Cricetulus griseus: one gene and its partner. The protein of the gene in region 1 binds, or shares a complex with, the protein of each later gene. Links are inferred from orthologs where the notes say so. Each region holds a gene or a part of one and is shown on either strand. Other genes may lie near its edges.

Region 1 (3,430 bases):
AATTTCATGTCCATGGTCTCTCTCCCTATATTTTGTTTTCTATTTTGGAGACAGGGCCTCAGTTCTAGTATTGCACGTCTGCACCACCATGCACAACTTCCTCTCCTTCCTATATCAGGTGTCAGCTCCTTAACCCCAGCCAGTGCTTTTCCACCCCACCTCTGGAAATTAATATGGTTTGATCTTCTTTGTCTTTAGTTTTTGACCAGTTGGATGTTGTTTCCTATGAGGAAGTTGTCCGGATCCCTGCATTCAAGAGGAAGACCCTGGTGCTGATTGGTATCTTTTCACAGTTTTGCTAATTCAAGAGCATAATTCTGTCCTTATTTCCATTCCTGTGTTATGTGTCCACCCTTCTTCAGGAAAGGCAGTGAGGAAGAAATGAAGTGTGGTCTCTTATATATTTCATGTAGTGTACTTATAAAGAACTCTGTAGTTTTTTGGGGGGAGAGGGGGGATACGGTGGCTTTGGAGGCTGGCCTGGAACTAGCTCTTATAGACCAGGCTGGTCTCAAACGCACAGAAATCCACCTGCCTCTGCCTCCCGAGTACTGGGATTAAAGGTGTGTGCCACCACTAACTCTGTGGATCTTACAAGTTTTTTTTTTTTTTTGGTTTTTTTTTTTTTTTTTTTTTTGGTTTTTCGAGACAGGGTTTCTCTGTGTAACTTTGGACCCTGTCCTGGCACTCGCTCTGGAGACCAAGCTGGCCTCGAACTCACAGAGATCTGTAGGGAAACACCCTAGCCCCGCCCAATAGTCCCGGACAGATGCCAGGTGGACCCGGGACTATTGGGCGGGGTTAGGGTGTCTCCCTACAGAGATCCGCCTACCTCTGCCTCCTGAGTGCTGGGATTAAAGGTGTGTGCCACCAACGCCTGGCACGAGTTTTTCTATTACTTAGAATCTAATTCTTTTTAGAGTAGGTTTGCTGTTTGTCCACCTTTTTGGATGGCTTACAAAATAAACAGAAAACTGCACAGTAGCTGGTTCCTCTATGGAAATAGAAATTATGTTCTATGTCTTAACTTTAAGGATACAAAGGAATTGAAGCTACTTGGTGATCCCAAATCTTCTTTGACAGCTCTAAGGACTCAGTTGCAGCCTGGGTAAAGCACCAAACTGTTTTTGTCTACTAGCCACTTTGAGCACCGGAATATAGAAATCTATCTTCCATTCCCTGTCTTGTCTCCACCAATGTCTCTGGGTAAAAGTGATGCAAGCCTTTCTTTATTCTTACACAGGAGCCAGTGGGGTAGGTCGCAGCCATATTAAGAATGCTCTGCTCAGACAGAATCCAGAGAAGTTTGTGTACCCTGCCCCATGTAAGTATTTTTCAGGTGCCTTGGAGGGGAACATTATGCCCTAAGGGACAGGCAGCAATGTCATGTTACTGAATTTAGCATCAGTATTTTTTGAAATGTCATGTGGTCTTGTACTTGTTTTATTTTAGATGTTTAATTATGAAAACTTAAATCTAGGGGCCTGGAAATATCTCTGAAATCCACATTGAAAAGCCAGGCATGGAGGACTGGAGTGATGACTCAGTGGTTAAGAGCACTGACCCAGGTTCAATTCTCAGCACCCACATGGCAGCTAACAGCTATCTATAACTTCAAGATCAGCAGCTAACAGCTGTCTATAGCTTCAAGATCTGAGACTCTCACACAGACATACATGCAGGCAAAACATCTATGCACATAAAATAAAGGTAAACTTTAAAAAAAAAAAAGAAAGAAAAGCCTGGCATGCTGGCATGCACTGTTAATCCCGTGGAGGTGGAGATAGCAGATCTATAGACTTCTTTGTAGTGTTCAAAACCAATGAGAAGACCCTATCTTTTAAAAAAAGGAACAGGTGTACAGCACCCAGGGAATGTTACCCAAGGCTGCCCTCTGTCCTCTGTACATGAGCATATGTACCAACACACACACACACAAAAAAACCCCTAAAAATTTGGAAATATAAACATGTACTTATGGGGCTGGGGAGAGGATTGCTAACTGACAATGTGAATTGAATCCCTAGAACCCACATGGTAGGAGAACTGACTCTCACAGGTTGTCTTCTAATTTTCGTATGCACATAATGGCATATCACACACACAGAGATCACAGAGTGTACTTACAATTGCTTGAGATAACAAAATAACTTTTCTTATTCTCTTATTCCATATAACAGTACTTGTAGTAAACATCGTTTTTTAAAAAATATTAAGGCTGGGTGTGGTGGCACATTGGGATCTCTGAGTTCAGGGCCACCCTAGTCTAGGAAGTGAGTTTTAGGACAGTTTTAGTACACAGAGAAACCCTGTCTTGAAAAAGAAAAAAATTAAGAATTAAATTTTATGTATATTGCTTTATAAATGATTTCTCAGGGTCCTCTACTGTCTAATTCAGTTTGAGGATTACGTTATAGTCCTTTTATGTAGGACTATTTTATAGTCCTTTTATGTAGATAGTATAGTTTGAATAGTGGATACACTATAGTTCTTGTGGCTATTTTACATTGTTTAATATTTAAGCTGCCTCTAGTGCTCATAGAATGTCTTTTAAACCAAAATAGTGCTTAGGGAAGGCCTGCTCAGTCACAGCAATAAAGAGATATAATTCTCAGAAGGGGTACTGCTAATCAAATTAGAAAACTAGGATGTGAACCTGATGTTATTTGTTTTCATTCTTTGTCTTTTTTACATATGGATCATTTATTGAAAGTTGCTCATAGGAACATAGTGAGAGTCATTCCAGTAGAGCAGAAAACAGATGTCCCAGGGAAGTCTACAATATATATATATATATATATATATATATATATATATATGTGTGTGTGTGTGTGTGTGTGTGTGTGTGTGTGTGTGTGTGTATGTATGTATGTATATATGTACATATGTATTTATACATGTATATGGAAAGAGCCTGAGATGCAATTGCAAGTTGAGAGGAAGGTAAAGGACATGGCTCATCAGAGGATTAAAAGAGGATGGGAATATACAATTTATCTCTGCACTAGAATGTTACTCTTAACATTTTAACTTTTAAAAGAATTATATGTCTGTGTGTGTAGGGGGTTGGGCAATTTATGAAAGTCTGCTTTCTTTCCACCATATGTGGTTCCAGGAATTGAACTCAAGTTATAAGCTTTCTGTGGCAAGTGCTTTTACCTGTTGAGAAATAATCAGAACCAGTATTTTAACAAAATGTTTAAACCAAGCCAGTGTGCTCTTCTTTCCATGTCATAAAAAAGAAAAAGAGCTGGAGAGATGGCTTTGTGTTTGAGTGCTTGCTGCTCTTGCAAAAGACCAGAGTTTGTTTCCCAGTATCCACATTAGGCAGCACACAATCACCTGTACCTCCAGATTCAGAGATCTGATGCTTTCTTCTGGTCTCCATGGGCAGAACATACATGCACATATAAACTATTTTTAAGGGAAA
Region 2 (4,367 bases), on another chromosome or scaffold:
CTTCATGGCTCCCTGCTTCCAGACTGCTGATCCACTTACCCAGGGGCTGCATGCTCCAGCCACCAAGGCTTTCCCAGGAATGGATTGTGTCTTTGAACTACGAGTCAGAATAAACCCTTCCCTCCTTAAGTTGTTCTTCTTGGGATGTTTATCACAGCAACAGGAACAGATGAATGCGGAATTAACACCAGTATGAAACTTAGTGCTTAATTCTGGCAGGAAGCTCCAAGGCTGCCACTGGTCATCTTGATTGAAACGTAAATGGCTACAGCAACAGCTCTGAGCACATTAAAAGCCTTAAACATACTTCTAACCCTGATGCCCTGATGTCACAGGTGCGATGACAAATTAAGGAAAAATGTGAGATGAAGGTACTTCAATTCACATGGTGCATGCATGTGTGGAGGTCAGAGGTCAACCTCAGCAGCTGTTCCTTAGGCACCATCTTCCTTGATTTTTAAGACAGGATGTCTTGGTAACCTGGAACTCACGGAGCAACCTAAGCTAGCTGGCCAGCCAACTTAAGGAATCTACCTGCCTCCACTTTGCCAGTGTACAGACTGTAAGTGTGTGCCACTGCGTATCTGGGCTCTTTTATTGTTTAATTGATTAGGCTAGGTCTGGGAATGCCTATGAGCCAAGTATTAACACCCTCACTCCCATTCTGCTTCCTGAGTATTGATACAATGTGACCTGTGGTCTCAAGCTCCTGTGCCTTTGGTGAAAGGATAGACTGTACCTTCAAACTACAAACCAGAATAAACCTTATTTTATCATAGCAACAAGAAAAGTAGCTAAGGCACTCGAACTGAACTTTGATGCTTGCAAAGTGTCACACCTGTCGGGTGACACAGAAAGAGTGGAAGTGGAGGACACTCTATGAAGTAAAGATACACTAAGCCAGAAAGAGAGAGTCAAATACAAGTATTATCTGTCTTGTAAAATCTAAAATGGCATCTCAAAGTAGAAAAGTCCAGTTGCAATTAGTAGTGATCAACGACAGGTGGGGAAATACAGCAAGATTGGGTAAGTGGTACTAAAACAGAGATTGGCTACATACACACACACACACACACACACACACACACACACACACAAACACACACACACCCACCCTGAGTAGGATGCCTCCAAAAGTAAAAGATTGGTAAAGTTAGGAATGCTATTGACACCATCAGTACACAACCTATGTATGCCCTGAAATATTGTGCCATACCCTGTAAATAATATACACAATTAATTTTAATTAAGAGACATCGTTTTATGAAGAAGAAATGTTTAGAATGGTTCTGGCTGCACAGCATCCAAGCCAGGCTTGAAACTCTTGCCTGCCCCTATTTGGACAGTGCCCAGCCAGGCCACTGGGTCTCACGTGGGACTTTTCCAGAGCTCACACAGGGGAGGGGGGTGCGGCGCGCGGCGGGAGGGGGAGCAACCACAAGCTTTCTATCTGATACTGACAGATGGAAACAAAAACATGGGGGGGACTGTGAGCCTTGAGCAGAAAGTTAGAGCGCAGAAGAAAACGTTCGGAAGTGGGCGGGTGTATGCTTAAAAAAAAAAAAAAATGGGTGGGAACCTCATGGCCAAGTTGTAGAAAAAAAAGTTGAAGTGTGCCTATCTTGGGGCGGAGCCCCTCCCTTCTGCTGGCAGCGCGCGGAGTGGGAGCCCCAGGTACAACCGACAGGCAGGGTCCAGGAGCTGGGGACCCCCTTCGCCACAGTGCGCCCACCGCGTGTTTCCCCGCCGCGTGGCGATGAGCAGCCCCAGGAGCACGCCGCCTCCCCCGCGCCACGGTGAGTACCGGGACTGTCCCGGGTCCCCGCCTGACCCGGGCCGCACTGTGGCGCACCGAGCGCGCGGGGTCCGAGTCCTGCAACAGCAGGCCGCCGGGCGCCTTGGCCCGATGGATGTCCCCCACCCAAAGAGGCCACCAGCCCCGCGGTGGCGCGCTGTTTCTTTGTGTGGGGCTTGAGAAGGGTCCGGGACCAGAGAGAGGGAGAGGCCGAGCCTTCAGCAACCAGGCACCCCCCCAACCCCTCACCCCACCCCAGGCAAGTCGCCGCAGGAACTGAGGCCAACTTCGGGAAAACTCCAAAATTCTCTAACAGTTCTTTCTGGCCCACTGGCCCTGGGACAGGAACAGACTTTGTGGGATCCGTTCTCCTTGACTCCTTGAGATTATGAAACAACAAACAAACAAAACCTACTGTCTTTTTAAACGCTTTAACTTCTTGGTGACTGGAGCAATGAGAGTCTCCGGATGTAGGAAACATTGATGGGCCTCTTGGCGCCCTGCTCTCCTCTGCTTTGGTCTACTTTGGGGCTTTTGCAATCCAAAGTGTTGTTTTTAGAAAGAACACAACTCTTTATCCACTTTACCCCTCACCTAACAGAGGAATTACTCAGAGCCTACATGGTGTTCTCTATCACTATAATAAGTCAATAAGAGACCTTTTTAATTTTAATTTAATTTAATTTAATTTTGAGACAGGGTTTTATGTAACCCAGGCTAGTTTGTGGATTGGACCAGGCCAAGATGACTTTAAACTTCTGATCCTCCTGCCTCCAAACTATGTTACCAGGCATGTGGTAACACAGAGTTTATGCCGTACTAAAGAGGAAACTCAGGTCTCCATGCATGCTAGTCAAGCATGCTACCTACTGAACTATACCCCTGGTCTGCCACCACTGTGTTAAGTCCTGTAAATGTAGGCAATTTCAGGGCCCCTGTCTTGTGTGGCTTGGATACTTAGTTACCATATATTGATGGTCTGTGATTTTGTGCCCAGCCACGCTGTCGTGTATGTTGCCTATATTGGGATCATCTCTGTAACATCTCTCAGCTCTGGTTTCAGCATCCATGAAGTGAGGAATCTTCATAGAATATTTCTCATTGGATTGTAAGAATGAGATGCATATAAATGCTTGAGAGTGCAGGCTGAGATATAACACGTGTTTACAAATGTCTAGCACCCCAAGATGAAATTTATCAGAGAGTGTGGACCGCCAGAATCATGTGCATTTATTTCAGTCTGTGACTGATTCGTGTTCTTGTGTGTGAATGCATGGACACGTGTGTTCAGTTGTAGACCTTGCTTGGCCAACAACTGCAAACAGCTCTCCTCCCGGGCTGATGGGGTTACAGCCCTTGCTCATATAGTTCTCCAGATTACTGTCCCCCATTGGATTCTGGCAGGGTCCCTGCTATGGGAGACCCCTGGGGCCCTATTTCTTGCTGCTAACTCAGACAGGATGTGTCTATATCCTGTCTCCATGACGAAGCTGTAGCTACTCAGTGCCTGAGGTCGGAGCAGAGAAAATTTGTCGGGTCAGCCTGGACCCAGCAGGGTTTAGTGTTTCTTCTAAGCTTGATTGTCACCGTTATTGGCAAGTTATGCATGGGCAGTCTGGTGCCTTGCCCTTGGCTGAAAAGGGGTCACTGCTTAGTGTAGAGATGCCAGGTTTGGCAGCTTTATATAGAATTTGCTGTCGCTGGCAGAGGCAGAGAGGGTGACCAGAAGTGCCAAATGAAATTACATCTCAACCCTTGTGCAATCTCTCTAGATGCTGAGGACATGGGGAGTCTCGTGGGGCTGGCACAGTAAGCAGCTAGCCTTTCCCAGGGTACCCTTGTTGGGCAAGTATTTTAGAGGCTTGCAAAACACTCTGGGAAGCAGAGGATTATGGGGTAAGGGGCATTCTATGTGGTTGGCGTGTGTGTGTGTGTGTGTGTGTGTGTGTGTGTGTGTGTGTGTGTGTGCTTGCGTGTGTGGTGGAAGTAAGTAACTGCTTCCACCGAGAGTGGGGAGAGGTTAAGAAATCAAGTGGGTTTATCTCTGGGTGGCAGGGGCCATCTTTGTACGTGGAATTTTACCTGTGTGTGATTGTAGGAGCTCGGGATAAAGTGTCCTACACCAAGGTTTAATCTATGAGACAAATACTTTGTGTGTTTAAAATATTCTTAAATTCTCAGAAACTGTCCTCCTGAAGGTTCTGCCAGGTGTGTGTGTGTATGAGTGTGTGTGTGTGTGTGTGTGTGTGTCTGAGTTTGTGTGTCTGAGTGTGTGTGTGTGTGTGTGTGAGTGTGTGTGTGTGTATGAGTGTGTGTGTGTATGAGTGTGTGTGTGTGTATGAGTGTGTGTGTGTATGAGTGTGTGTGTGTATGAGTGTGTGTGTGTGTATGAGTGTGTGTGTGTATGAGTGTGTGTGTGTATGAGTGTGTGTGTGAGTGTGTGTGTGTATGAGTGTGTGTGTGTGTGTGTGTGTATGAGTGTGTGTGTGCACCTATTTGTGCTTGTATCAATGCAAGCCCATGGGCAGCCTCACATGTCATTTCTCAGGTGCTTTCCACCTTCTGTTTCGGG

What was found. The genes of interacting proteins can lie anywhere in the genome.
Region 2: the proteins of Mpp1 (region 1) and Gypc are in contact, whole or in part, in an NMR structure (PDB 2EJY), measured with the Homo sapiens proteins. The link is inferred for Cricetulus griseus from reciprocal best matches to the Homo sapiens genes MPP1 and GYPC. Residues at the interface, in NP_002427.1 of Homo sapiens: Pro81, Met82, Gly83, Ile84, Leu86, Lys87, Leu88, Leu100, Val130, Gln134; in NP_002092.1 of Homo sapiens: Arg123, Lys124, Glu125, Tyr126, Ile128.

What each region holds. Positions count from the first base shown.
Region 1 is NC_048604.1:732,799-736,228, forward strand, and holds part of Mpp1 (55 kDa erythrocyte membrane protein), read left to right. Parts: intron 1-198; coding exon 199-279; intron 280-1,243; coding exon 1,244-1,324; intron 1,325-3,430. UniProt on the Homo sapiens protein: Essential regulator of neutrophil polarity. Regulates neutrophil polarization by regulating AKT1 phosphorylation through a mechanism that is independent of PIK3CG activity.
Region 2 is NC_048595.1:204,836,570-204,840,936, forward strand, and holds the start of Gypc (glycophorin-C), read left to right. Parts: upstream 1-1,480; 5' UTR 1,481-1,756; coding exon 1,757-1,796; intron 1,797-4,367. UniProt on the Homo sapiens protein: This protein is a minor sialoglycoprotein in human erythrocyte membranes. The blood group Gerbich antigens and receptors for Plasmodium falciparum merozoites are most likely located within the extracellular domain.